Struthio camelus: one gene and its partners. The protein of the gene in region 1 purifies or fractionates together with the protein of each later gene. This does not show direct contact. Links are inferred from orthologs where the notes say so. Each region holds a gene or a part of one and is shown in the gene's direction. Other genes may lie near its edges.

Evidence for each region.
Region 2: the proteins of PXN (region 1) and ITGB1 purify together in Homo sapiens (affinity purification with western blotting; 3 studies listed by BioGRID and IntAct, with this or other methods). This does not show direct contact. The link is inferred for Struthio camelus from reciprocal best matches to the Homo sapiens genes PXN and ITGB1.
Region 3: the proteins of PXN (region 1) and CTNNB1 purify together in Homo sapiens (affinity purification with western blotting; 3 studies listed by BioGRID and IntAct, with this or other methods). This does not show direct contact. The link is inferred for Struthio camelus from reciprocal best matches to the Homo sapiens genes PXN and CTNNB1.
Region 4: the proteins of PXN (region 1) and ARHGEF7 purify together in Homo sapiens (affinity purification with mass spectrometry; 3 studies listed by BioGRID and IntAct, with this or other methods). This does not show direct contact. The link is inferred for Struthio camelus from reciprocal best matches to the Homo sapiens genes PXN and ARHGEF7.

The regions. Positions count from the first base shown.
Region 1 is NC_090958.1:7,823,889-7,830,990, reverse strand, and holds the start of PXN (paxillin), read left to right. Parts: upstream 1-4,092; 5' UTR 4,093-4,107; coding exon 4,108-4,145; exon of another isoform or gene 4,146-5,174; coding exon 5,175-5,347; exon of another isoform or gene 5,348-5,469; intron 5,470-5,746; exon of another isoform or gene 5,747-5,887; intron 5,888-6,313; exon of another isoform or gene 6,314-6,454; intron 6,455-7,102. Other genes in the region: SIRT4 (NAD-dependent protein lipoamidase sirtuin-4, mitochondrial), read right to left, coding at 524-818, 1,591-2,090, 2,482-2,493. UniProt on the Homo sapiens protein: Cytoskeletal protein involved in actin-membrane attachment at sites of cell adhesion to the extracellular matrix (focal adhesion). Recruits other proteins such as TRIM15 to focal adhesion.
Region 2 is NC_090943.1:16,830,236-16,838,174, forward strand, and holds the start of ITGB1 (integrin beta-1), read left to right. Parts: upstream 1-4,922; 5' UTR 4,923-5,184; coding exon 5,185-5,193; intron 5,194-7,939.
Region 3 is NC_090943.1:51,348,714-51,356,213, forward strand, and holds the start of CTNNB1 (catenin beta-1), read left to right. Parts: upstream 1-4,487; 5' UTR 4,488-4,883; intron 4,884-7,500. UniProt on the Homo sapiens protein: Key downstream component of the canonical Wnt signaling pathway.
Region 4 is NC_090942.1:158,295,180-158,302,354, reverse strand, and holds the start of ARHGEF7 (rho guanine nucleotide exchange factor 7), read left to right. Parts: upstream 1-4,169; 5' UTR 4,170-4,382; coding exon 4,383-4,547; intron 4,548-7,175. UniProt on the Homo sapiens protein: Acts as a RAC1 guanine nucleotide exchange factor (GEF) and can induce membrane ruffling. Functions in cell migration, attachment and cell spreading. Promotes targeting of RAC1 to focal adhesions. May function as a positive regulator of apoptosis.

The DNA.
Region 1 (7,102 bases):
AGACGTGGCTAATGGAGAAAGACTGTGAAAGAAAGGACAGTCCTAAGTGACAAGCAGAGATTTCCTGTTGTCTTCTGCTTCAGCAGTTTAGTTAGGAATTAGAGGTCCTAAAATCTGGTATTTTACACAGCATGCCGCGAGGCCTAAGAAGCTGCCAAAGGCGAAAAGCTCAAGCAAAGAAATGTGGGGTGGTGATCTATACAGGGCTGGATTGTGTCAGGTATCCTGGCTCTGCAGGCAACTGTGGACCTATATAGCGATAGAGAGGACTGCAGGGAGAGGTCAGAGTGTGTGAACGGAGTTATTTATAGCAGCTTCAAGGAGATCAGCACTGGAGTGACAGGGAAGCCCAAACAGAGCAACTGTGAAGCCAGATTCCAAGGCCAGTAAAAATACCAAGAAGCTCTGGAGAGGCTGTAGATCCACCTGTCTGCAAGCAGTAGTCCCATATTGTGGGACCAAGGACTGCTGCAGGCAGAGTAGCACAGAAAGAGAATCCAGTATGGGAGGAACGTCCGGTTACCTGCATGGAGGATCCTGCCACCAGCACGGAGTCTGATTCCGCCAGGCGTTGGTGCACAAAATTCACTTTCTCCCGGCTCACTGTGTCTCCAAAGAACGTCACGTCAGGCTTCAGGATTCCACCACATTTACTGCAGGCTGGCACTTGGAAATTACGCACCTGCTCGTCTGTCAGGAAGACATCTCCATCGGGAGCCACACCAAGCGCTTCAGCTTTCCAGGTAGGGTTCAGAGCTTCAAAGTGCACCTGCAGCTCAGAGCGCAAGGTTTGGTCTCCACAGCCCAGGCAGAAAACCCTAAAGTGCAGAACAAAGTCTTAACCGAGAGCTTCATGTCAGCTGAGCCTCTGGAGTCAGTAAGCTGTTGGTTGGATGGCCTGTTGTTACTGTCCGCACTTATCCACCAAATGGCACAGGTCAGTGGACTGTCTGTCTACCTCTAGTTGAGACAATCAAATGAAGAGCTTTATAGAAGAAAAAATATATATATAATTACACCTCAGAAAGAAACCAACCCATGCCAGCCAGGCAGTGGTCCCCACCTCCAGAACTTGTTGCTTTGCAGGGATGCTCTAGAGGAAGCCTGCTGTGCCTCCTCTCTTGCAGTCACTCTGTGCCTTTTCATGTGGAAACTTTGGGCAATCACAAGCAGACCGTGGTGGCCCCTCTCCAGTACACCCACCCTCTGTTTTTCTGGCACTACCCGCTCTGCTCAGCCCAGGTAATTATTCCTTGCATCCTCAGGATCCTCCTCTTCACCTGAGCAAAGGATATTTGCTTTAGCAAGGAAAGGTGAGATTCTGACTGACCCAGCCACTAAGGGAAATGATCCAAAAAGTGCTCCAAAAAAATGGGATGCTGTTCATGCTTATTAAATACTCTGCTGTGAGCAGCACTGATGCGTGACCCTTTTCTGCACCCCCAGCCCAGCACCTTCAAGCATGTCACCTCCAGTAACACTGCACATCTACGTTTTGCCTCCTGGCTCAGCAGCTACGGCTGCACTTGCTGCTTCTTAACCCCAACAAGACACCAGAGCGTTAACCGTCCTCTCTACCACGGAGAGTACCTGTGCGTGCAGCCGTGCAGTTCTGTCATGCGCTGGCTCCCAGCTTTGGTGTGAAGGGCATCCACGTTCTGGGTCACCAGCCAGTGCAGCTTTCCCAGCTTCTCCCAGTCTCTTAGCACCAGGTGTGCTGCGTTCGGCTGGTGGGAGGAGAACTGGGGCCAGCCCACGAAGTTCCTTGCCCAGTACCGCTGCCGGGCACTGGCACTGCGGACAAACTCGGTGTGCTGGATGGGCCGCCTGTCTGTCCTTGCGTAGAGCCCGACGCCTTCAGAGCGGTAATCTGGGATCCCTGATTCAGTCGAGACTCCAGCTCCAGTCATTACAAAGAGCCTCTTGGACTTGGAAACAAAGTGCTGCAGCTCCTCGACTTCCACGGGATCCGGGGGGAGACACTCTGGCACGAAAGTCAAGTTGGGAGAGGTTCTGGATACAACATGGGATCGGAAATGAAGTCTGATGGCTCTGCAACCTCCTGACAACTTCCTGGCAGAGAACATCTTCTGCTAAAAGTAAAGAACAGAACACAGGTAAAAGAAAGCAAAGAGCATGTCCTTAATTCCCTTTCCTTGGGATACTCTGGCAAATAATACTGATAAGTGTTCTTTGTCCTATTTTGTCTTTCAGTAAAGAATTCCAAAGTATTTTGAAAATGTTACTGAAAGCTTACTGCAGGAGGACAATGTTCCTATGCGCCCGTTGCAGGGGGTAACACCGAGGCCTTCCCATGGTGCAAGGACAGAGCTAGCACCCCTGACTCGCAGGGTTCCTGCTCTCCATCCCTGCTGTGAAGGCCTCAGAGGACTCCTAAAGAGCACAGATGGACCTGTGCAGGGCTTTTCCAGGGACGTGCAATAGGCAGAGAGGACAGAGCAGGGAGGGCAAGTACCTCACCCCTGCAGGCATTGTGCGGCTGGTGCCTCCGATTCCTCCACAGAGGAGACTCTTGCTCTACTGTCTCTAACGCATTGCCTGCTCCAAATCAGTCTTTTCAGTTTACCCCATCCTCGGCCTCTCCTGTGGAAAGCAACAACACAGCCACCTCAGCATTTTCCAGAACAGATTGATTCTTCGCGAAACCTAAGCTCCACAGGAGGGCTTAGTCTGGTAGGACTTCCTCTACAGTTCTGAATCATTTGTTGTAATCTAATCAGTGAATTTTATTCTCAGTGATTTTTGTTTTGTTTTCATGTTTAGCATTAGTTGTGTTTGGCCTTTCTTCTGAAGAGGTTTAATTTTCCATGTGAATTAATTAAAAGGGACACAGTTTATTGGGAAACGTTAGCGTGCTTTGAGAATAACATCTGTTGTGATCCTCCCAAAAGGCTGTTAAGCCAGTTTGACAGTGTTTAAATTGCTTGCACTGATGGAAATTCTCCATTTCTGTCACTTATCATCAAAAGAGCTCTCGGAAGAAAATGTTTTGAAGGGGACTGAAATGCAGACATAATTTGGATTGGCCGGCAGGAGAGAGAAGGCGGTATTAGGCACAGCAGCAAAAATACCAGATACATTTGAAAGGTGCTGTGAAGCAAGGAAGTAGGACAGACTAAGAGAAAAACTTAAAAATGACAGAACGCATGATGCAAAACATGAGGCTTCTTTTAAAATGAAGGTGCTCGGATTAAAAAAAAAAACCTTTAATATACTTATCAAGATCCAAGCTAGCGTTTGTTTTTAACACACATCCAAAATCTTTTACAGAAAGAGATCGGTCCAGTTTAAGGTAGAAAACAAACAAGTTTCTATAAATGATTTCAGGCCAGAAAATCAGAGGTGTACCCAGGTCATCCGAATCTCTTTTGCTGCAGTAATGACTGCAGGCGAAAAGGGGCAACAGTCAAACTGAACACGCTTAATGGAAGAAGATATAGTGAACAGGGCCTGAAAACTTACCTTTCATAATGCTGCCGTGGGGGACCTCTGAAGAGAAGAGAGGACCTACCGGAAGAGTAGTGTTCTGGGAAATGTAGTTCAGCAAGAAATTAAAGCCTACAGCAGGAAGACTACAGTTCCCATGCTTCAAAGAGGAGGGGGGGGAAAAAAAACCTTCCTGAAATGTCATAAGAAAGTGAAATGTGAAAAAGCTAAACGCTTCACAGCTGCCCTCAAAGCAACAAACAAGAAGGAAATCACAGCAGTATTTGCTACGTAGGGACTAGCTTTGATAAAGTGCGCTGTAGACACCCGAACGCAGGCAGCTTCCCTTCACTGATGCTAACCTGCCAGCCTTTGGTTTCAGAAAGTGTCAGAACAAATAACAGGAGCAAAGTCCGCTGTGGGCTGTTGAAGACGATGGCTCTTCCGGTTCCAGAACTCCCGGGGGTGTGAATTGCTGGGGCCGCGCTTGCCCCTCGCCCTTCGGCGCCTGCACTCGGGCCCCGGCCCGTAGCGTACCGGGAGGGTGGACTGGTCTTCTGCTGAGCACATTGGGAATGATGGGGAAAAAAGTTGGGGGGAAAAGCCAGGGGAAGGGCCCCCGGCAGCAAGGATGGACGAATAAGGAAAATCCGGTCGGTTATGCGTTACAGTGCGGCCAGACGACCCCCAAGAGGCCGGTGTGTGACAGGTGATCCCCACGCTGCTTTCAGAGGAGGCGTGGATGAAAAAGGGGGCAGGCGTCTGTCTTTCATCTCGTTGGGCCTCTCCCCGGGCACCTTCCTTAGACGCCCTGAAGCGCTTTGACATGAAACCCTTTGCCACCAAAGGGCTTGTCGGTTCCCTACCTCCCTCGCGGGCTCGCCCCGTTGCTGGCCTGACCTGCTTGTCACTCTGCTGATTGTCACCTTCTGCAGCCAGCCTATACGGAGACGATGGTGCTGCTGGGGATGCTGCCGCGGTTCCCATAAAAGCTGTTTCCTTGTTCTCTGGCGAGCAAACTGCTTGGGTTTCACTGCTGGCTTTTGCTGGGCAGCGATGTCCCCTGCCCGTTGTTTCTCCACAGTTTGCGGGAATGCTGGTGTCTTGCTGGAAAGCGGCAGGTTATTGAGATGGTGACATTTTTTTCTGGCCAGCTTGTTGAGCTATTCCCACAGGAAACTGTGTTCCCTAGACCCTGAAAACAGCGGCAGTAGAGGGTTTTTGTTGTTTTCTTTCGATGTTTCTTTTGGGGGTGTTTTTGTTCCTTTTTTGGAAGGCCTTTCAAGTCGCCCTGCTGGGGTTATGAGGGTCTGGAGATAAGGTCCGCTTCCCCTCCGCGTGGCGTAAATGGAGGCATTTTTTCTTCCATTCAGCTGCTGGTTCCCATCTGAACTTCAAGAGCTGACACCGTGTGAGACGCTTACCCCGGCCACGGGCAGCTGCACGTGGCCAGTGGTTGGGGTCGGGTTCGCAGCGGGGCACTGGCACAACCTTTCAGTCTTGACATGCACGTGATAAACCATGACTCGACTGGCACAGGGGGTTATTTTTTCAGGTTTTTAAAGAATGAGCTAGAAGGGGGAAGTGCAGACGGCTGTCCTGCAGCAGCCCAGCACGGGATAGTCCGCCGCGTTGCACCCGGCGGGTCTTTCTGATAACCTGGAGCGCTTTCCACGAGCATCCTCCAGATGGGGCGAGGTTTTAATCCACTTTTCTTGCCTTTGCAGTTACTTCAAAGCACGGAGGAGCCCAAGGCTTTCTGCATCCCTGGGATTTTGTGATCGCAAAGGAGAAGCGCGTCCCGCTTGCGCGGCGCCGGCTTTGCCCGCTGCTACGCGCCCTGCTCCCGGGGAGGGCCGGGGCCGCCGCGGGCCCTTAACCACGGCCTTTCAGCCGCCGCGTGAGTCTGAATGGACTTTAGGTCGTTAGTGCTTATTTGAAGAGTTTCGATGCGTTTTCAGAGCGCTGTGGGGTGGAGGGGGCTGCCGGCAGGCCCTGGCCGAGCCGCCGCGGTCCCCTCCCGGGGGGAGCCCCCTCGCCCCGCCCCTCTCATTTGCATAGTTCCGTCATTTGCATTTCGCGCCCTCCCGGCACCCCCTGCGCGCCGCCGCCGCCGCGCCGCGCCGCGGGGCCGCCCCCGGCGCCCCTCCCGGGGCGGTGGCGCGCGGCGGGGGGGGCGCGCGGGGGCGGCGGCGCGCGGGGGCGCGCGGCGGGCGGCGCGGGGCGGCGGGGCGGCGGCGCGCTCTGAGCGGCGGGGTGGGGCGGCGGGGGCGGCCGCTGGCGGCGGGGGAGGGCGGGCAGCTTTGCGCAGTGGCAGTATCGTAGCCGATGAGGTGAATCCGAGGCGCGATTATTGCTAGTTGAAAACTTTTCCCAATACCCCGCCGTGGCGGCTTGCAATATAGTTGCCACCGGCAATTTTTGAGGGCCTCTTCGGAGGCTGGTTTCACGTGGTTTAATGACAGAGTGTTGGAACAGGGGAAGCGGAGTTTGGGGAGGAAGAGGGAATACGGGGGAGGGGGGGGGCGGGGCTGCGGCTCCGAGGCGCGGTCCGGGCACGGCGCGGTCTGGGCGCGCCCTGCCGCCCGCCTGGCGTCCCGCCGCGCGCCATACGCACCGGCCGCCTGACGTCACGCTGCTTTGCATACTCTTTCCCAGCAACCTCCGCGGCCGCCCCGCCGGTCGGCACTGCGGGGAAAACGGGGCTCTCCTCCGCGCGGCGGGGGCGTGGGGGCGCGGCGGGGCTCGGGGGGCGGCGGCGAGGCGCGGGGCGGCGCGGGGCGGCGGGGCGCGGGGGCGGCGGGGCTCGCCGTGAGCTGGGAGGCGGCGGCGGGGCGAGGGGCGGCGGCGGCGGGAGGAGAGAGTCAGCTTTGCGCAGTGGCAGTATCGTAGCCAATGAGGTTAATCCGAGGCGCGATTATTGCTAATTGAAAACTTTTCCCAATACCCCGCCATGACGACTTGAAATATAGTCGGCATTGGCAATTTTTGACAGTCTCTACGGAGACTGAGTTTTGGTGTGGAAAGACAGAGGAAAGGAATGCACGACAGGGGTTGTCCTCGTGTCGTGGCCTGGGGGGGAAGCGCTCCTGAGAAAGCGCCCTGCGACCTCATCAGCGCCACAAAGGTTTACTGTGTGTGCGATGACACAAGGGCTTTTGTTCCCTCTCGCCGCAGCCGGGGTCTGCCCCAGCCAAAAACATGTTTTAATGATAAATCGAGGGCGCGTTTGCATAAAAAGCCCAGTTCTTGCCTTCCCTTTCAAAGGTGCTGAAAGAGGAATTGATCCGTGAAAACGGGAGCGGAGGGAGTGGGGTGCCGGCGGGTGCCTCTGCCCTGGCTCCTGCTGAGCGGGCTCCTTGAGCAGAGCGCTCTTGGGGGGAGCTGCCGGTCCAAATCGTGCTTGACTGGCTCCCGAAACGCTCCGGCACGCATTGGGGAACCGCGTTCAGTGCGCAGCATCGTTTTGTGCAACGGCTCATTACTGTATAGATCCATCGGCATCACATGCTTTTCTTTATTTTTTATTATTTTTTTTAAAAGAAGACTCCTCACTGTCAAAGAAATCTTAAACCTTTACTCTGGAAAAAAGCAGCTGCTGAGTTTAGTGTAAAATCCTCTTTTTGAAATTAAGTAAACCCCATCTATTTCTAAG
Region 2 (7,939 bases), on another chromosome or scaffold:
TATCTGTGACTCACTTTACTCCAGCCCTCGTTTAAGGCTGGAGAACCTCGTTCCAGTGTAAATGCAAGGCTCCGTATAATGGCCACATTGTATGCTGTTGAGCAGCTGCCAGGTTAATTCACGGACAGCATCCAGAGAAGTGCTCCTTATTGTTTGTGAAAAGAGCAAACAGAGGCCGTTATCAAAAGTAATTAGTGCGACCTCTTGGCGTTATCACTTCCTGTACTAAGTGGCCCTACTTCGTAATAATACCTTGTATTTATTTTGTGTTTACATCTAACATCTCCTTCGTTCTCTGTACTGGAAGGCATAGCCCCCCGCGCAGACAAACAGCCAGCGAGGCCTTCCCAACTCACTGTGTACCTCCACAGCTACGCAGGCTCTGTGGGAATAAAAGAGCAGCAACTGCTGCTCTTCCGCTCTCAAGGACAGGAAAGGAAAACAAGGCTGTTTACAGAGGCAGCACAGTCCAGGTGGCAGCAGCCTGGTGAGGCCTCAGGAGGTTCCTGGCTCTGTTACTGATCTTGGAAAAATTACTTTGGCACTGTTTTCTCTCCCACCCTTTATCTGTCTTTTGTATTTAAACTATGATTCTTCACCTCAGGGTGTTTGGGTTTTTTTTTTTTTCTGCTTTGGAGAAAAAAAAAATATCCTAGGTCGTCTAAGAGCATTTTGAAAAGGGAGAGGAAGTAAAGATGAGGGGAGTAAAGTTCACTGCTCTCAGTAATAAAGTGTGTTGGGAAAAAGGAGCAATACAGATAAATTAACATGCACTGAGGCAGAGCTGGGCTGAGATACCTAGTACAATATCCAAAAGCAAAAGGGAAAGATTTGCGTTAGTGGGTGGTGAGATTATAAAGCTGCCCATGGTGGTAGGAAGCCATGGTGCACCGAGATGAGTTTGCCTAATAGCGGGCATTTTGGGGCTAATGTCCAGCACACAACACTCCTCACTGTGACCCTGCTTGCAGAGTATCTCCCTATACACCCTGTCTCAAGCTCCAGGGGTGGAGGAAGAGAAGGTGGGGGAAACGCCATGACATTGGCAGGAGCCAAGGCCATGACACCCCTGGACATGTGGGCTTTGCTACCCATCAAAACAGATCGGACAGACAGCAGTGTGCAGCCACTGGGAAACTGCAGCCAAGTAAATATCCCAATGACACAGAAGCTGCAGTAGCTTCTCCAACCAACCAGTTCCTACTCCTCAGGGATACGGCAGTCCCTGAGGCACGTGAATGATCGCCCCTTGCTAAGGTTATTAGCCAGGCAACCAGGAGGGACTGCTGCACTGCAGGGACACTCAGCTACAGCCTCCCAGCTGCAGCTGACAAACCCCAGTTTAAACAGTTGACCCATGGGATAGATGTTACCTCTTAACGTGTGCACTGGACACAACAAAACCTGGTTTGGGACTCTTAGATATGCCTGTTAAATTTGTAATAAAACCTGTACCTTCAAGGCAAGATACAGACACAGACTGACACTGCATCCACAACACTGCCTGGTCATGCTGGTAATTTCTGTATATTAAAAAAATGAACCAAAAATAGGCCGAAGACTCTCAAACCACGGCCTACAGACCACTGGTGCTCCACCAACCACTTAGTGGTGTTCTGTGACACTGGGCCCCTCCTTATTGCTAGTTGTTTGGACTGAAAGATTGCTAGACAGAGTGAAAGTGTGCAGAACTTCAGTGTGCTTTTAAAGCAAAACTCTAGTAGGTATACACCACCACTTAAATAAATCAACTGTACCTACCAAGTAATTTAATGTGCAAAATATACTTCAGATATTTTCAAAGAAATAATATACTAAAATATTTATTTTAATGATTACTTAAGAAGTCTGAATTTTTCAATAATATGGTATGCAATTAATCATAAAAATGAAAGGTATCTTACAAACTGTTTTGCTATTTTTGCTGATATCTCTGCACACATCACTTCGACAGTTCTCCTGGGATGGTATACTCTACAACACAGGAATTTATTTCTTACAGCATTCACAGAAAAGGAACATACGCTACACACAAATTGAAAGGCGTCATTACCAAATTACAGGCTTTCTTGTTTTCTAAACATAACCCAAGTATAAAATACACATTAAAAAAAAGGAAAATGAAATGGTATTTTAATAAAGTTAAGCTAATTAAACTCACCGAAAATATTTTAATTCTGGTATTTTTCAGTTATTATATTGGTTCAACAACACACAAGTACTTGGAGAAGGACGAGTCAAGGACTTGTATCCAAATCTTGTAACAAAGAACCAAGCTGTCTCATAAACATATAAAAATGTAGCTAAAACACAATAGCAAATCCAGAAGTATCAAATAAATCAGTAAGAATGCACAACATTTCATAATCCTGTCCCCCGTGTCACATTTCCTCATCCATCTTCCACGAGATGCAAGGATGTGGATAACCAGAACATGCCATCTGGGCTAGTACTAACAAACCAAGCCTAACAATGACTAGCATACTTCCTAGCTGCCTGAACAACCCATGAAAATCAGGAGTTTCTTGAGCTCCTTCATGCAAAACATGTTCACTCTCACAGATGTCATGTATACCATAATATGGAGACACTGCAATAAACATTTTGACATCATCTGCAATTGCAACTGCTGGCTCAGATACCTCAAGCACTTCTTCTGACATCTTTAGTACTTTAGAAGTGTTAGAAAATAACAAATGGCCCTCACACGCATCTGTATGCTCCAAAAGAAGTCCAGAAAGCAGTCAAATAATTCAGTAAGCTTTCCAGCAGTTTGGGGGATTTTTCTTGCCAACATCCTGTAGCACAGCACAGCCAGCCACTGTCAATGTGACACACCAGCGTTTGAGCTCAATGTAGCAGTGCCTGAAGCATCTCTTTGCTAAACATTTTCATTTACACCTCACAGTCTCAGCAAAACATAGCAGTGAGAATGAGGGCTATTTTTGTCACTACCTGCTTGCAGTATACTATAGTATATTTTTACTCATCATTTTTATATTCTGGCAAAACGTGGTTTTTTCCTGAAATACAGGAGCATGGAAGGAGACTTTGGCTAACTGCCATTTTTCTCCCCTCAGTACTTAAATTTCTTACATTTTTGGCAGATCGCTGTCCCTTCTGCATTTGCCTTTATTTTGTGTTGCATACTTTTTAAAAAGGTTGGTTTTATAGCAGTTTCTTTCCTTATTTCTGGCAGTATTAATACTACATACTAATCTAACATGCAACATATGTACTCTGCCTTCTTTATCTTTCAATCAGAAAGCTCTCTCTTTTCCACTTCATTTGTTGTGCTCACCTTTGATGAAGCTGCTTTGAACAGCAGCCTATCATTTCAATTTCATTTTCTAACACCACTAAAACAGTTTTAAAATTATAGTTGTAGCAGCATTAAAAGCTTCTGCTAGTGCAGCTACATTGAGAGACTACATCCTGAAGAACTGCACTGGCCAATTTGAACATACATTTGAATCGCAGAAGCCCTGTTTTTTTATTTTTTCAGCACAACTAATAATAAAGCAGAAGAAGAGCTATAAAATGATTATCAGCTTGCAGCACCACTTTAGTTAATCATACCAAAATAAGAACTGACAGAGGCTCAAGCAGTGGGTCACTCATAAAGGCACAGTCTGCCTCTGTGAACTGTAGAGTCCATAGATTACATTTCCCTTGAGATTTTACCTTCAAATAAGTGTTTAATACCACTTTTTTTTTTGCCAGTACATCTCCCAAGAATGTATTTTAAAGCGTGTTTAAGGAACGTTAACAGCGTGTGTCAATCAGCAGCAAGTACTGCCCAAGCAACTTAAGTGTTCCACTTTTTAGTCTTCTCCTAGAGTGTAACAGCACGATACGCATGAAGTGTAACGCCCAAGCCATTCATCTGCTCATTAACCTTCCTTACTTTCGCAATTAATTATTGGTTGGCCGATTATCCACTAAAAGCTCTACCACGCCACAGCTCTTCCAGGTGCCTACGGCGCTCTGACTAGGGAGCACCGCTGCAGCGTGTCGGCCTGTCGGCGTGCCCCACCGAAGCGCGGGGACACGCGGCCTCTCAGCGGGCTCCTCGCCTCGCGTGGCCGTGGCCGCAGGGCTGGACGCGGCTGCGGCCTGGCTCATCGCCGCTCCTGGGAAGCGGTTGCTGCCAGGTGGCAACTGGAAGATGCAGCGCAGCATCCACTTCACAGCGGTGACTAGAGCCAAGAGAAGCGAGGAGGAACTGCAGCAGCAGCAGCAGCTGGAGCCGGAGGAAGGAGGACGCCTGAAAAAGAAACGATCCGGCTTTTTAACGACAAAGCGGCAAGCGAAACCGGTGCCCAGGTCCGGTGTGAAAGTTAAGCGCCCGCCAGCTCGGAGAGGCGCGGTGCCCGCCGCCAGCCCGCCCGGCAGCGCCGCCCTGCCCTCCGCAGCCAGGGGAACGCGCCGCCCCGAAGTCACGCGTGTCCGCGCACAGCCCGCCATGCGGCACAGCCGCCTGCCCGCGGCGGCCCCTCCGCCCTGGGGACGCCCCCCGACCCCCGGGGACGCCCCAGACATGGCGGCCTCCCCCCCCCCGCCCCAAAGGCGGGAAACCGCCTTTCACAGGCAGCCGCCGCCGACCCCCGGCAACCAGGAGCCGGAGCGCGAATAAAAACGCCACCAAATAAGGTGATGAAGGTTGGCACGAAGTCGGGGGAGAGGGGGGAGACGACAAGAAGGAGAAAAGCCCTCCTGGAAAGCTGCCCGGCGGAGCGCCCCCCGTCCCCCCCCCGCGGAGGTATTCGCGGCTCGGCCGGCGGCGCGACGCTCCTGAGGGAGCGCGGGCGGCGGCGGCGGCGGCGGGCCCGGCCCGGCCCCCCTCGCCCAGGCAGAGCCCTTCCCTCTTCCCCTCCCGCCCGAGGTTTGACGGCAACGGACAGGAATGTATTCTGTATTATGTATTTCCGGGGCGGGGTAAAAGCAGGCTGAGCGCGGAGCCTCTTCCCCGTCCCCCCGCCCCCGCCCCCGCCGGGCTCCCCGCGAGCACCTCTGAGGCGAGCGCAGCGGCGCCGGCGCCGGAGCGGCCCGGGGCGGACGGGCCGACACACGGACGGGGAGCCCAGCCGCGCCGCGCCCAGCCCGCGCTCCCGGGACAGAGGAGGCGCCTCAGTCGGGCGCGCCGGAGCGCGCCCCCTGTCCCGAGCCAGCAGCGCCGCGGCCATGGCCGAGGTAGCGGGAGGACGAGGCGGGGATCGGAGCGGGCGAAGCGGTGCCGGCGGGGGCGGGGGGGGGGAGACGCTCCTCACGGTGCGGGGAGTCGCCGCCGGCGCCGGTGCCCCGCCGCGGGGGGGAGGCAGCAGCCCGCCCGCCTGCTGCGACCAGGCGGGAAGGTGCCGGGCCCGGCCGCGGCTTCCTGTCGCGGTGGGACGGCGGCGGCCGGGCCGCGCCTTTGTGCGCGCCGCCGGCTTGCGCGGCGACCAGCGGAGAGCGGCCGCGGCCGCAGCGGCAGGGCGGGCGGCGGGCGGGGAGCCGAAGTTTTCGGCGAGCGCGGGGCGCGGCGGGCGCCCTGCGGCCCTGCGGAGCGAGGCGAGGCGAGGCGAGGGGGCTGGCGCGGCGGCCGCGCAGCGGTCAGGGCTGGCGTCAGGAAATAAGGAATAAGAGCGCGAAGAGTGCCTCCGTGCGGGAATTCACCACCCGCCTGTCTCTAGAGTCCCTGGCCTGAACGTGGCTATTACAGTCGGCCGTTGAGAGCAGGCTTCTGTGCCGTGGGGACGGCTGCGCGGTCGCGGTGCAGCCACTGGACTGCTCGACTCGCCTGCCGTTGAAGCTGGTGCGTTTTTGCTCTAAGCTGGCAGTGAGCCTTTACAGCTGGCTGTTAGCTTACTTGAGGATGAAAGTGGGGTTATGGGAACGTAAGGCCGCTTTATACGGTCTGGTTCTGCTGATGGTTTCGGGAGTAGTTTACAGCAATGCAAAAGCAATGTTTGGTCTAACATGCGAGATGTCTAATATGTTATCTTCATACGCACGATGTTTGGAAGGAAACATAAAGTGACAGAAAATTCTTTTCTGACTCACTGCTTAGGTCGTGTTTTGACCCAATGTTAGATTTCTTTATCTGATGGAATGAATGTCAGACTGCTGATTAAACTTGGAGAATATTTTTCATTCTGGGGAGAAAAAAAAACCCAGCCTGTTTTGTTTTGGGTTTTTTTTTTTTTTCGGATTTGCCCTTGGTATAACACAGCAGTCCATTCATGCCAACATATGTGCCTGTACTTCTCAGGTGCAAATGGTGATTTTTCTGTTAGATTTGCCCTTGCTGTATTGCTACAGTCCTGTTCCTGCCAACACACATATATCTTTAGGAGCAAGGATTCAGATCAGTGAAACCACGCATGGCTGGTGCTGAGCATGTACTTAAGCATTGAAGTGGAGTAGGACTTTGCATATATGCAAATAGATTTAGATAATCTGTGCTTCTGGTACGTTTGTCATTCAGTAAGTGATGGTGGTAGCCTAAGCAAATCAGTTTGCAACTATGACATGAGATGACTTGGTAGCAACTTTTTTTTTTTTAAGAAATAATTTGCTACTAGAAATATGTAAATTAGAGTAAATTAAACTAGATTTCCAGAGTAGTGAAGACATTCTAGCAGAGGCGCAAAGTTCACAACCACCCTCATGAGGAAGCTGATGATACATTCTCCTGTCATAAAAAATATTACTTGCCTCTAGCAAGTGATTACATAGCATTTTGCAAGCTTACCTAAGGCTGCTTTATAAAGATTGCAAAAACAGTGAGCCGCTGGCAATATGTAGGCAAGATGAGGCAAGTTTATGATGAAGATGCCTTAAACTTTTGTCCTTTTCAAATATGCGTAGTAAAGTGAAAGGTGCAAACTTGACAACCGTGGAGAATAGAATCCCATCTTTATCAAATTTAGAGTTGATTAGTGCCATAGCTATTTGCCAGCCATATAATAAATAAACCAGTTCTATTTTAAAATAAAACTTGAACAGCTAAAAAACTGCTATTCTTTTTGTTGCTGCTGTGGATTTTCTGTATGCAGCCAGGGAGATCAGTCTGCTGTTTTGTTTTGTTTTTTTAAAACTTTTGATAATCTGATCTACATAATCCTAGGGCCTAGGTGGGCCTAATTTTGCCCACCTTTATGAAAAACTGATGCAGAAGAATGCAAGTTTCTCTAGCATATTCCTGAATTTCTGGTACAAGGGCATAATTTTAGTGTTTGTCTTGTCTAGTTCTAAATGACTCAAGTGGGTTAATCTTCCACCACTTCCTTTGGGAGGTGATTCCCACAGCTGAATACAAACTGTCCGGAAGCTTTTCCTGCTGTTCTTTCTTCCCGATTCATGATTTCATCCCTCTGCTCTTCACCATCCCCCCCTATACTTTTCTTAGCGTACATCTGTAGTGATGCAGATGTAAAAAAGAGTGCAGTGCTATAGCAAGCAGCTGAGGCAGTAGATAACTTAGGTAGCAAAAAGGCAAGCTCAGAGGGAGCAGTGCAAGCACAGGGTTGATGCATGCTGTATTTTGGGCTGACGTGAACATGATTCCCTTACTGCTTTTGGTATGAATGGTCTTCAGTTGTTTGTAAATAGCTGTTGTGCCTGCCTTTCCGGCAGTCTTGATTTAGTCAACTGAAGTGATGCATGTTTAGCTCTTAAGTCTTCTCCAAGAAGGCAGTTCTTCCAGCACTGTGCTCAGCCTGTTACAGACTTCCTGGCTGCCAATACCTCTTGGTAACGTGGCCTTTAGAAATAGTTCTGTTGAAATATCTGCTCTGTGATGAGACCCTTTCTGTAAATCATGAAAGACTGTCCTTTTGAGCATACTCTTCTTCTGTTTTTTCTTTCTCTCTTTCAAACAGACAGACAGGTTCCCTGATATTCCTCTTCTCCCTGCAGGTCTGAGCTCCTTCAGGAAAGGCAGATGCAGTTCTGCTTA
Region 3 (7,500 bases), on another chromosome or scaffold:
ATATTGCATATATTCAAAACTGAAACAGCAAATAAAAGAATAATTTTGTTTTTAATCAGACTTTTGGCCAATTACAATTTTAATTCTGACATTTGGAACAACATTGGCAGAGTACTCCAATTTATCTCATTCCCACCAGTTAACAAGATGTTTTGATCAGTATCTTCTATACTAATTTATTAATAATTGTTACTGTCTCACTTTCACTCAAAATGACTGCAAGCTACACACTAGCATAATTTTATTCCATAATTTTTTGAGAAAAATCAAATCTCACCAGTGTTTTGGAATCTGGCAAATTCTCTCCCTCTTTGTCCCTAAAGAACACGTATTTTACTAAAATTGAGCCTGAGTGGCATAGCTATGTGCTTCAACATAGCAAAGTTTCTGACTTGTATTAATAAACTGTAGTTCTTAAGCATGCAGCAGAAGTTACATTGATTAGTCTTGTATCTCAAAGAATGCTTAAATACTGCTACCATCTCCTTTATTTCACCCTTCATTCCTGTATAAAAGTGCAAATACATGACTTATTAAATACATTACAACTTTTCTGTGCTGGAAGAAGATTTTTTTTTGAGAGGATCAGAATGATTTGGTTTGCTGCGGACAAGTGAATATTTATTTAGTCAGTGTCTTTAAAAATGTGTAATTGATTCTCAAATATGTTCCCAGATTATGCACAGTTAGAAGCCAATTATGCATATGTTTTTAAGATCCATATGGGAAATCAAAGATTCAGGCCCAGAGCCTTAGATGTTTCCGTAATTGGTGATTTTGCTTTGTCCTTATATTAGTGCCATTGCTACTCGTTTGTTACTATGTTCCCTAAAAACACAGCTACATGCCATAATTTCAGAAGGAAAGGTGACCAACCAAGTTTACCTTTAGCTGTTTGTTATTTTTAATTAATGGGCTTCCTGCTTTCTACGGTGTTAAAAGTTGTCTCTGCAAAAGCAGTGCTAAGGATGTTAAAATGAGGCTAACAAAAAGATTTAAATCATTATCTTTTAAAATTTAACCATGAAGCTCTCCTTTGCACTGAGGATTTCTTACTGCAGTGATACACAATGGACATGTTAGAATACTGCTTGACCTTTTGAAAAAAATATGTCTGCGGCATAGTCATCTAGCAAATAGTCACCAAAACAAACCTATTAAAGCATAAAAGAGCTCCAAAGAAACTTCTGAAGCGGCATATACAGAGTGGATGCTTCTTGGGGGAAAAAAAAAGAAAAGTAGAAGAAGAAAAATAACTGGATTTTTGTGAATTCATTCATGGAAGCCCTGCACTGTAATATCCAATATAACATTCACTCTTCTCGCTTTGACACTGGACCATTTCACAGTGTATTTTAGAAAATTTAGAAACATGAAATGTATTTTAGAAACATTTTGTAATTGAAATAATAGTATTATAAGTCAGAGTTCATCCTAATTGCAACATTTCCAGCTATTAAGGTATTTAGCTTTCCTAGGGTAGTCTTTTTAAAAAGGTGATACTTTAGAAAATGATTAGGTACCTAATAGCTAAAAATTGCAAAGCTAAAATGAACCTAATTTCTATTAGCATCATGTCTAGATCCAAAAGCATCCTAACCACTCTGCAATGAAACAAATATAGTTTAAAATTACAACAAACCACGCAAGAGTAAAACAACTCAAAATCAACAAGAGCCTACCATTATGTGCTAAAGGCCTTATGAAATTCATATAAATATATATAAAAAAAAAAAGTTGTATGTTTTAAACCTGTTTGTAAATGGGCTAGTTCCAGCAGTCCTCATCAGGTGAAAAAAAGCAGTCCATACTTCAGGGGCCAGAAGCAAAGACACAGGCTGTACCCCTCCTGCTTCTGCAAAATCCAGGCTCCAAAAGCCCCATCCTTGCAGACCTCAGGGGGTGGGATGGCACACAAAGAGGCTCTGAAAGGTATCTGGGACCATGCAACGCATCAAGGGCGTTTGACTGATTCTACTGTTGTTATCAAGTACCCAATGGAATTGCTGATGGTGAATTTGGCAATAATACCCTATAGAAACAGCACTTTGAACTTATATAGCACCTTTGATCCAGGGATCTAAGAGGAGAGGTCTGTCATTATTATTATCCCCATTTTACAGAGGGTGAAACCAAGGCAGACATGATTTTCCCAAGGTTGTACAGGAAAGCAGCTGAGAAAGGGAGGTGCACAAAGAACGTAGCTCTTCCCCCCACATCTTTTTTTTTTTTTTTTAAATGCACCAAACCAATCTCCAAGCACGCTTTCTCAGATTCGTAAAAGCAGAATCAAAGTTTTTGTGTCAAGGATGGCAAGGTCTGCCGCTCACAGCAGCACGCTCCTGCGCCATGCAAACACACCCTGCAATTCCCCTGGAAGCTGATCAGCGTTTGCCGCCTGCAGGCCCTGATCCGGCAGCATTTGCTTTGCCTACTCTGGCTGCACAGTTCTCCTCCTTCTTGCCCTCCTTTCAGCCAGTGTAGCCAACGTGGGCAACCGTCCTAACAGGAAATGGTATGACAAGGAAAGCTGTATTCCTTGACCCTCTAACTTCAAGTGTATCCCAGACGTACTTCATCCTAGTGAGGGCGTGAGGTCGCCCAGTGCACCAGGAGGCTGGTGGGTGGTAGATTGCTGCATGTCCTGCAAAGGCAGAGAAGAGTGGAGAGCAACCAAGGAGTTTGGGGTATTTTTAGTTTTTGGGGGGGGGAGTTGGTTTGTTTTTGCGTGTGTGGCTTTTTTTAAGCACTGCTGCCTTCCCAGTGCTTAAACCGCACTGCTTCACTAGTGACAGCTCCTCTGGCTCTGGGACCCCTGCATCAGTCCCACTGGGCCACAGCCTCATGTGGTTGCCCCATGCCAGGCCAGGCAGGCAGGTACCCCAAAACTCTCCCAGGTGCTGCAGTGGACCAGGGTATTTTGTGTGCAGCAAGCCCTACACCTTTATTTTATTTTACTTTTTGAGCAGGGAGAAATCCCATGTTCAAAAAGTGCTGGTGCAATAAAGCAGTTGATGTGAAAATCAGGTAGCACTGTCAAAGAAGTCCTTTAGCCTAAGACTACTACACATTACATTACTAAATAAATCAACAAATAGGGGGAAAAAAACTTTTAAAAGTGTAACTTTCTGAGCCTATTTAAAAGAGTATTATCTTTGGAAAAGCAAGCACACAGGCGGCCTCTCTGTGAACCATGCATCTCCCCAGCGCAAGAGCCACAGCAGCTAGAGGATGGTGGGGAAGGAGAGGCTGCGTGAAGCCCTCCAGCACGAGACCAAGTATTCAATCCCCACCATCCCCTAGTGCCAAAGCAAATCTATACTGAGAGGGGAAAAAATAATCCATCTTTCACTATAAAACATCTTTCATGTTTTATATAAACACGTTGGTATATACACTCCTTGTTTCATGCAGCGGTGCACTTTCGGGGGTATGTTAAACAGGCTTTGCCTGTGCAAGACGGCACAGGCAAGAAGTCTGTAAAACGTTTTGCTGCGCAAGCCCGCGGACGCCGAGGAAGAGGCAGCCACATACGTGCCTTCACAAGGCTCCGCACGCCGCGAAAAACCTTGTGCAATTCATAATATTTTCCTGTTTTTACCACTCACTGAAGAGACGAGGGGTGGGCGGAGGACCGGTGGGGGGGGGGAGAGGGAAGGGAAGGAAAACCTGCTTCTTCCATAGAAAATAAATAAATTGCATAACGAGATACTTTCTTTGGCAACTGCTTCCTGACAAATATTTATAAGGGCAGAGCGGAGCGCGTTTCCGCCGACGTGAGCGGGCCCCGCCGCCCCTGTCCCCGGGCTCGCCCCAGCGGCCGCAACGGCCCCAACGGCCGCAGCGGCCGCGCGGCCCGGGGCGGGCAGCAGCTGCGCCGGCGGCCGGAGCCGAGCGAGAGGCCGGTTTTAAGGCGTTAACGCGGCCCGCGAGTCCTCCGCAGTCGGCGACGAGCCTTGGGGAAAACCGCAGAGTTTCCCCTCTAGTTGGCGGCGTGCGCACCCCCCGAAATTTAAATAAATCAGTGAATAAATAAAACCCACTCCCAGAGGCCAAGTGGAAGCGGGCTCTCGCACCCCCCACCCCACCCCCCGCGCATGCCTCGTCCCAAAAAATTCGCACTGTTTTGCCCTGAGGGAAGGGGACCCCCAGGCTAATCCCCTCAGCTCCTCCACCACCACCGCTCGCCGCCGCCGCTGCCTCTCCCCCGCCTTCAGGCAGCAACTTCGCTCGCAGCCTTAAGCTCGCTCCTTTCTTCCCCCACCGCCGCCGGGGTACGCTGCCCCCCGCCCGACCCTCTGGCCCCGGCCCCGCCGCAGCCACCCTGCCTCCCCCCGCCCCGCCGCGCCGCCGCCGCCGCCGCCGCCGCCGCTGCTGCCGCCGCCGCCTCCCCCCCTGCTCGCGGCCGCTTCCCTCCGCTACTGCTCTCTGTCTCCCTCCGCCCTGGGAGCCGGGCACTATTTCTCCTCCCCCCTGCTCTGTGCGCTGGGCGCCTGTGGAATGCTGCGCGCTGGGCCCGGCCGCGGCGGCAGGATACAGCCGAGCCCGGCGCTCACTATAAGAACCTCCTTGTGAGCGACGCCATTTTAAGCCTCTCGCTCGGTAACGGCGGTGGGAGCAGCAGCGGCGCTTGGGCGAAGGGGGACTAACACCGCCGCCGCCCCGCACGGCTGCTACCCGGGAGGCAGCGGCGGGGGTGCTGCCGCCGCCAGCAAAGAGTCGAGCGAGGAGGAAGGGCGGGGGGGGGGCGGGGAAGAGAAAAAGGAAGGAAAGACGGACGGGACCGGGATCGCCCGGGCAGCAGCAGCCGGAGCCCGGGGGGACCCTGCGCTCTCGCCCCCCTGCGACAACGTTAGTGCCACTTTCTGCGGCGGGAACTTGGGGTGAGCCCCTGCCGGCCACCCTCCTCCTTTCCCCCCCCCCCCCCCCCGATGGCCGCCGGGGCGGGCGCCGCGTCCGGTGGCCGTTGGGGGGTCCGGGGTGTGCCGGGCGCTGAGGCGGGAAGGGCGCGGGGCTGGGGGTGGGGGGCGCTGCTTGGGTGGGAGAGAGGCGGGTGGCCGCGGGAGGTGGGGGGTTGGGGAGCGAGGGAAGGAGGACAGGAAAGGAGGAGAGGGCTCTTGTTTTGGGAGGTCCGGACAGCTGCGTGGCCGCAGGAGGCGGCAGCTGCAGCTTCCCGAGGTGTCTCTTGGGAAGCTCGTCCTGGGCCGAGGGGGTAGTTGAAGGGGTCTGTGGGAGGGGGCGAGACTCTGCGATGCGGGTCTGTGTGCGTCTGTGCTCCCCGCTGGGTTTGCGGTCGAGGCCGGAGTAGTTTCGTACCGATTTTTTCTCCTTTTTTTTCTTCCTCTTTTTTTGAGGGGAGGGGAAGGAGGGAATGCTGACTCGCCAGTGGGCTCCAGACCACAGCAGTGACCGGGGAGAGGAGGGGGAAGAGAGCAGGGGACGGATTTATCTGTACCTTGTATAATTAACTAACCACGGTCACTGCAGTCAGAGGTAGATAACTAATCTGTTGACTTGTAGGTTTTCTGTCGTAGTTGCATGCGTGTTTGTTGGAGAGGTTGTGCTCCTTCTGGATGTCTTCGAAATGAAGCTCCCTGAAGCTAGGAGCAATCAAATTAAGTTTTTAACACCCACATTACCAGAGTCTTGCAGAGGATGACTTAAGCGATGTAGGGGCTCCCCTGTTGAAGGGGGAAGCGCCTACTCTTCGTGGCCGACCGGGGGGGGGGGGGGGGGAAGGCCCTCCAGCGACCCAAACCAAAGCAGTTCTGAGCTGTGTGAAGCAACTTGCTCTTACTGTTGATGGAAACTTATTTCTGACTCTATGGAACAAGGAGCTTCAGATGTATTTTTCCCCAGCGGCTTAGTTGAGCTGTCTTTTGTGCATGATGGGTTCCTCTTGGGGCAGTTTGATTTCTTAAAAATCTAGCAAAATCTTAAACTCTGATCTAACTAAAACTTGGTATAAGACCTCTTGCAGTTTCTTTTTGAATCGATTGCTTCTGGGAAGAGGTGTTCTTGGTACAGTTTTGGGAAGAAAACACAGGCTATGGAGGCAATATCAGCAATTTGTGACTGTGAATAGCAATGTTAATCTTTGCAATCAGCTACTTTTTCTTGATCTCTTTCTCATGGAGCAGCCATTGTTCTGACACTCTGTATATTCCAGACATCTGTGGTCCTCCCATCCCCCAAAGTATGCAAGTGGTGAATGGAAAGAGGCTGGGCTGGTATGCTGAGGTCGATGGAAGGAAATCAAGGAGGGGTTTTAGTAAAACAGGATCTTTGTGCTGAGAATATAGTAAAGGCATAGAGTAGAAACTTACCTGAAAGAGAGCAGGATGTTCTTGATCCTAAGTTCAAGCACACTGGAGAGCAACTTTATCAGTTATGACTTTGCTCTTGATTGGCAAAGCTGTTACTGCGAATCTTTAAAACAGCACAAAAGGCAAATTCACTGGTGTCCACTGAGCCAGGTAATAATGTGAATTTCAAGTAACTGACCACTCCAGGAACCTAATGTTAATCTTGCGCTTTCACCTTTTTTATTAAAAGGTGCTGACAGCTGTAGGTATCATCTGACTGTCAGTTGCACGATCGCTGGTACTGTTGAAAATAAGGCTACTTAGATGTTCAGACAAGGCTTTGAGTCTCTAAATTCAGCTATTGTATACAGAATCATATTAAATGTCTTGCTATTTTAGGGGTCATTCTACAGAACTGTCCTCTTTGCTTGGCTATAAGTTCAGATAACTTGTATTTAGGTGTAAACTGATATGCTTGGGAGTGTTCGTGTTGGTCTGTGGCTGCTTCCTAGGGTATCAGGGAGAAGTGTAAAAACATGCCAAACAAAAGGATAGTATAAAATAGATTGTAAAAGCAAGGGTTTAATTCAGGGTAAGGCTTAATCCAAAAGTCAGCTAGTTCTTAACGTTCAATGTTGTTACATCCTCAGTAAACAATTTTTTTTTTCTTGCCTGAGTAACAAATACGTTGTCCTTCTTGCTTGATATGTAGTTTGCTATTTGTGCTATGGCTACATAATGTGTCAGTAAATGGTTTATCAAATCTTAGCCCTGAAACTTAGTTGCCTTTCAAATGGAAGGTTTTCTTTGTAAAATGTATCCATTAGTCTTTCATGACTTAGCATTCCCGAAAGCTCATATCTAACCCTTCAGAAAATAATTTCTGATGAAAAGAGATAAAAATGAGTAATACTGCTGATCTTCTAAACTAATTTGGGGGTATTTTGAGGTGTGGAGAGGACAGGCAGCAAGAGTGAGACAGGAGAGGCAGCTATTGTAAGCTTTAGCATTGTAAACTGAAGTCTGAATGTGCAATGTAAAACTCGTGCATGAAGTTGTTTTTGCAAAATATGGTCTAGTATCTAGACTAGTGTGCAAATACAGCAGTAATCAAAATCATTCATGCTAATTCAAAGTTAAAGCTGGTAACACAGGGGTTGTGATGATTGTGCAGTTGGTTGCAGCAAAACTTGTT
Region 4 (7,175 bases), on another chromosome or scaffold:
CCCAGGAAGTACAACAAGTGGGACGCATGCCCAAGAGGTTTGAAATCATAGTCTAGGGAAAGGTTTGGGTATTCTGGGGGAGGTGCTTCATTTCTCCTGTTGAAGCTGGCCATGTGGTCAGCTAGGTGTGGGTGCTTCATGGCACCAGAGATGAGATTTCACTTCTACTGGCTGCCCTACCTTAAGGGGAGAGCTGGCACTCTGCGTGTTCTGGAAATGTGTATTGGAAACAAAGCAGGAAGATGGGCTCTGGGGCTTCTCTCTCCCAGCAAAAAGCCCCAGCCATGCTCATGCATCCCTGTTTTCTCTCCATCCTTAGGCCAGGTGCCTGCAGCCCCCATAAAAGAGAGATGTGCAGAGGCACTTTTTTCCATTGTATTTTCTTATAGGGGCAGGCTTGGGCATCTCTGCATTTAGCGCACGTGTGAACCCCGTCACAGCTGCCTAAGCCTCTCCATGCTGCTTGGCCACCCATAGCACTGCCCCAGAGCTGAGCACGCAGTTTCCAGGTACCTGAGCCTCATGCTGCCTGCGCCCAAATGTCAAATACCTACTCGGAAAGTCCCACGTTGGTGCTGCTGCATCAGCACTTTAGCCACACTCTGTAAGGTACCATTCATTTTATGTTTATTTATGCTTGGTTGAAAAGCTTCTCGGGACCAGAGCTTTTTGCATCTGCCTATTAAAACACTCTGGCACTTCACAGACAATTAAATAATTGCCTCACTAGTCTTCTTTTTCCACTCGTCTCTCCTATCTGGTTTTCCTTTCATGTTTATTTTATTTGATTGATCCACTTCTTCTATTACGTCCTTCACCTCTCCCTCTTCCACGCGCTCACTAGAAAACAAGGCACAGCTTAGGCTAGAGGAAAGTGTAACCTTAGCCCCCTGGCTAAGATGGATGTTTTGGGAGAAGAGTAGCTCAGGTTGGCTGGTTGCCTCTGTGCCTGCTGCAGGTTCCTGTGCTCCTTTAGTTACTAAGGGGCCGCTTTGGGAGGAGATGGAGAGACAGGCTGGTGGCTCTCAAAGAGCCTCCTCTCACTTTGTCAGCCTCTTGTTTGCAGCGGGAACCCAGTGAATGTGACCACATAGTTTTATCCATGTACAACCTTGCTCTGCTCCATATTTCTACCTCCGCTGGTACCATGCTGCTCAGGCAGCTGCTTCCTGACTTCACAAACACCATCTTCACACGTGGAAATATATCTCCGAGCTTAATACAAAAGCTTTGTTGGGACGAGGTTTTTCTCAGAGGGATATAAACTTCCCTAGGTTCAAACTATGGGGATAACTACTTATTGCACAGGAATCCCCGATCAGTAATTGATCCAGTATGACCCCTATGTGGCTAATTACTGACTGCCAAGGCAATTTCTGTTTAAACCGGACTGATAGTTAATTAGTCTCCTGCCCATCAAAGTCACGACCTTGTTTTGGCACGAGGAAAGCAGAGGGTGGCATATCTGGCCAAAGCACCTCATTGCTGCTCCAAAAACAGACAGACGAGGTATTAATAACTGAAAATGAAAAATGGGAAGTGAGCATCCAAGAAGAGGCAGAAGCTTTCTTCGCCTGCCATTTCCTTGCTCTCTTTCTTCTCTCCCTCCTCTGAAAAAACATTGCTCATGGGCTAAAAGACCAAATAAAAATGCAGAAGTACAATTTCCACTTGATCACTTTCAATTAGTGGCAAATACTACTGCCAACTCAGTTTATACTACAGAACACAAGAAATACTGCTAGTGTTAGTTTTTTGTCAGACTGAGAACTGACAGTTTATTTCTGCTGCCTGTCTTGCCTTTCAACCACTTTCCAATCCATAGCAGAATTTACCTTCTACCTCATGACTACCTAGTTTCCTTAGTAACTTCTTGTAAGTGTATGACAAAAGCTTGTGAAAGTCCAAAGAGATTGTCAAATCTTTATTTACTGAAAATGATGTGTTCTAAAATCTACTAGATCTCTGCCCAATCTAATTCAGTTAGTAATACCCAGGTATTAAGTCTCCCCCAAACCAAAATGTAATACTCTTGCTTGTGCAAAGATATTTAACACCTGCAGGCTTCTATATGTTGTCCATTTCTGTCCTGCATGTATGAATTCAATACCAAAATGATTTTTTTTTCAGTTTTGTACATATTTCAAAAATGGTTTATAGAAAAAGGCGGTTAAAACCATACATTTTGATGCCTTCAGGAGGTTTTTAGATTGCTTAAATATTACCCTAATGAGTGCTTAAATAAAATTTACTATCAGCTTACAATTTATTTTGAAGAAAAAAAGGAACCAAATTCTAGACATAAAATAATCAGAACAGCTTGAATGGTGAAACAAATGAGAAAGGAGCAAAAATTAGTAATAATCATATGTTTCATCATTTGCATTACCTGAAACCTCCCAGCACAGTATAGGTTTCCCCTTGCTAGACGATGCAGATGCAAAATAGCGGTCAGTCCTAGGAGCCTGCCATGTAAGCAGGCAAGACTGAGGCTCGCAGGAGACAAAACAAGCCAGCAGTGCAAAGAGTATGGATGGTTTGCATTAGATACGTTGTCAGGGAAAGGTTGAGAAGAAAGGAATCCAGGAAGACTTGGGCATACTCCTAAAATCTTTTGGGCAGTTTTTTCCTCTGAAGATTTGAGAACTCTTCCTCTGCCGTTGGCAAGTTTGAAGAGTTCCAGTTAGGCCATCCACACCGCTCAAGGGACTGCAACGAATAGCTGTGTTGTTGCTGTCCTTTTACTGGTAGCCGAACAACTCTCTGCTAGGAAGCTTTTGCTCAAAATGTATAGTGAAGGGGCAACCAGGAAAGCAAAAGTTTCAAATGATTAATGCTATCAACTTTTGGAAGCGCTATTACACCTTATGTGTCAAAGTTTAAGGAAAGCTGCTGATATTATGGATTAGGAGATTTAATGTTGGAGTCAGATCATCTCTTTTCAAATCCAAAGGCACCTATGTCTTTTGGAGAAGCAGCTAGAGCCGGCGCACAGTCAGAGACGGGATAGGGAACCAGGAGAGCTCCCCCCAAGCCAGTACAGCTACTTCCTGGTCCGCATAAAAGCCAAGTTGGAAACAACCTGCAGCAGTATATAACAGCTGGTAATACCTTGCATACGAGAGAGGAAACAGTTGTGTATTGAAAATATACTATCTAGCATTGTTCTGCACCTCGAGTGGGTCGGATGCGGATGCACCCCGAGCAGGGGGAAGCGGGAGCCCGGCTGCTGCTGCTGCATCACGTCTCGCCGCGCACGTGCCACCGCGGCGATGCTCATGGCGGCAGGGAGGCTCTGCCTCCCCTGGGCAGCGCACGGCTGATCTGAACATACTAAAACGCCCGTTTCAAATAGGATCTCATCTGAGCAAAGTCTTAAGGAACGGGTTTCTCTGGAGTAAAACCAGAAAGGACACAGATACTTTAGCCAGTTCTCTCAGATTAACCTTCCCGATATTTCTAAGTCTTTACGTTGGCTTCTCAAGCGCTGCCATAAATTAGGATTGTGGAAACTCGCCGAGAGTGAACCGGTGAAACATATGGCAAGCCGCAGACATGATGGCTGGAAAGGAGCGCGGCGCGGCGAGCCAGCGCTTCAGCCGCCGCGCGCCCTCCTCCTAACTGGCGTCGCCGCTCGTGCAAACTGCAAGCAGAGGCGAAGGATGTGCAAACGGGACCGGCCGGGCCAAGGAGACGCTGCCAAGCGTTCCTAGAAGGAGATTTTACCAAAACGCTCGCCCTCGGCCTATGATGAAAACCGCTTTTTTTTTTTTTTTTTTGCTCTTTTTGTCTGGACCGTTCGCCCGACAAGGGGGAGCCGGTGACTTTTCCCCTCCTTCTAACGGGCTGCCCACACCGGGCCCCGCTCGGGCGCGGCAACAGCGGCGGCGGCGCGGGGCGCCCCCCGCTAGGGGGCAGCGCCGACCGCCCCCCGGGGGCCGGGGCCGGAGCTGGGGCCGGGGCGGCGGCGGAGCCCGGCCCGCGCCCCCCTGCCTGCCTGCCTGCCTGCCTGCCGCCCCCGCCCCCGGCGCGCCGCCCCCCGCCGCCGCCTCCGCCGCCGCCGGTGATGTCATGGGGCGGCGGCGGGGGGCGGCACTGCGGCTTGGCGGGCGTCTGGCGGCGGCGGTGGGGCCGGGCCGGGCGAGGGGCGTCGTCATCTGCATTCACATGGGGGAGGCGGGGGCAGCGCCGGCCGCCGCGGCCTCCGCCTGAAGCCCCGGCCCGAAAAAAAAAAAAAAAAGAGGTTGGGGGTGAGAGGGGGGGGGAACGCATCCAAAAAAAAAAAAAAGATTTAATAATAAAAAAGGGGTGTCCTCGCCGGTGCGCTGCCTCCGCCTCGCCCTCCGCTGCTCGCCGGAGCCGGGCTCCTCCTGGCCGCGGCCATGAATTCCGCGGAGCAGACCGTTACGTGGCTGATCACCCTGGGCGTGCTGGAGTCGCCCAAAAAGACCATCTCGGACCCGGAGGGATTTTTGCAGTCGTCTCTGAAAGACGGCGTGGTGCTGTGCAGGCTGCTGGACCGCCTGCTCCCCGGCACCATCGAGAAAGTAAGTGCCCCCCGTCCGCCCGCTCGCTCGCTCGCCCCCGCGACGCCCTTTGTGCGGCCGCGCCCGCCCCGGCCCCGGCCCCGGCCTCGGTCTCTCCCCTCGCCGGGAGACCTGCCGGGCCGCGGGGTACCGCGTCGGGGCGGCGGCGGCTCAGGACAAAGTCCTGGCGGGCAGGAGGAGGAGGAGGAGGGCGAGGAAGGCTCAGCCCCGGGCGGCCGCGCTGCGCCGCTGCCCCGCGCGCAGCCCCGGTGCCCGCGGCGGTGCCGGGTAGAGCCGAGGGAGAGGGGCAGCTAGGGGTGCACACAGCCTCCCCGGAAAGGGCTTCCTTCCCTTGAGAGCCGCGGAGTTGCAAGTGTTTCACACGGAGAGAAAGAAAAGCAAAAAAAAAGCAAACAAAAAAAACCCCAAACAAAACCAAAAAACCCTAAAAAGCAAAAAAAAAAAAACCCAACAACTTCAGTATATAGTCCTCACTCTTCAATTTGAACGTGCGTTTTTGAGATTTGGACCTTTTCTGCCATGCTGTAAAGCCGGCTGAAAACTTATCTCCCCAACTGCTGGTATAGTCAGTGTCTCACCTCGCTTGGGGCTGTGATTCAGCTCATCCCTTTCAACGTTTGAAGGAGGTTTTGTGATGCTACGCTTAGTTTTGGTGTGGGCTGTTTCGGAATTGTTTTAGGTCTTTTTAGTGCTTTGTAGCCTGTGGAGAAATCTCATCTTTTTGAGATTTGGGGGAAAAAAAAAACCAAAAAACCCACACACAGTTTTATTCTGTGTTGTGTTTGAACAAATATAGTGCGTCAGGTAACTTTCATGTATTGTGTATGCATACATAATTCTTTTTTTTTGTAGTTCAGATGTAGTGAATTGTGATTTTTGGATACTGTACCTTGAGATTTGGAATGATGCAGTTGTCTCACCTGGGCTCAGTGTCCCAGTGTTTCATTCTGCATGCTGGAGGAAGCGTTCAACAATGTAATATACATTATGGTTATATATATATTTTTTTTTTCTGTAACATATGCGCTTGAACTATGTGTAGTGGCAAAACTTTCCTTTTGAACCACGCAAGGTAGTGAAGAGAAGATAAATGAAGGTCATCTGCTACGTTGACAGGAAAATTCCTTGCCTGAAAATAATACTGCATTTTTGAACTTTTTCAGCTTGCAGACCTTGCCACTACAGACATTTAAGCCTGCTGACAGTAGGTTTTCATTACCTTTGGTGGCTCTTTTAAAAGTAGCCCGCTGACCCACAAAGTTGAAAACTGGTACGTTGAGCTAAATAGGGCATTGGACACGGCACTGGCTTTGGTTATCTCCCTTTAGTTCTTGAATTTGCTACATGCTGAAGTGGTTCTTGTGTTGTGGTGTACTGTGGCCCAGAGATCCTGGCCTAGGATGGGGGTCCTGCTACCCTGGGTTGAGTAGGCCGTTCCTGCCCCCCAAAATTTGCAAGCTAACTTGGAGACAATACAGGGATAGAGAAACCACTGGGGAGCTCAGGGTGTTGTCGATGGATCCAAGCGATAGGAGCGGACACGACGTATCGGCCGTGGTGTGAGCGTAGGTGACTCGGGCTCCAGCATGGTGACAGGTGGAGCCAGCTGGGACGCCCAAAGCCGCTGCTGTCCCCTGCTCACTGCTCTGCCCAGGAGTTGCTATTTGTATAAGAGAGCTGGAAGAGGCATGTGTTTGCTCCTGGGGCGCTCACAGCTCGGGTAGGGAAGGTGCAAACTGCTCTCCGTTTCATTCAGTACCCTGCACACTGCAGCTCCGGAGCAGGTGAAATGTCTTTTTCGGCTGCCCGGGGTGACACATCTGGCAGCAGGGAGGACGTGGGGCTGCAGGCTCAGCCATCCCGGCTACCTACGTGAGCAGGAGTCCCCAGCTGCAAAGGCAGGGTCTCTCGCGGCTCCCTTTCCCCCAGGCTCGCTCTCGTCTGGTTAGCACCAAGTCTTCACACAGTTAAGTCTCAGCACAACATCTTACCAGTCCTCTGTGTGCGCAGCCTCGAGTAAGTCTCGAAAGTGCTTTGGACTCCAAACTTTGGGGCAGAAAAAGTATTTCCCTGCGTGCAGATGCCAAGCCTAGTGAAATGGGAGCCCAAACTCAACTTGGGAGACAGGATGTAACTGTATGACAAAATAATTAAAGAGAGCCTGATGGAAATAAGTGAACCGAATAGTGTTAGAATAGTGTTTTCCAACTCAGTGTGCATGCCTGAGTATGGTATATATATGGCTTTGTTAATGTAAATGAGTTTGTTAATGTACATTTCACTTTTTTTTTAAACATCAGGGTGACTGATGTCTTTGATGTTCAGGTAGGGGTCGCTCCCTGACGCGAGCCCACAGGGTTTGTGCAGGGACATGGTTGCCCCCAGCCTACCTTACTCCTGGTATGGTGTGCAAGGAGCTGTCAGTGGGTCTGCGCTGGGGGCTCAGTGGGGTCTGTCTGTCCATGCCTTAATGGACCTGGTGGTGCAGAGAGGAAGGGGTTTGCATGTGGGCTGAGGTGGCCGCCAGGGCGGGAAGGTGACTTGCTTCAGCCGAGCAGTGGGAGGAAAGCTGGAGCTTCGTGGCCTCCGAGCTTCCCGGAGCTAGCCCCGCTTGGGCCAGGGCGTCGC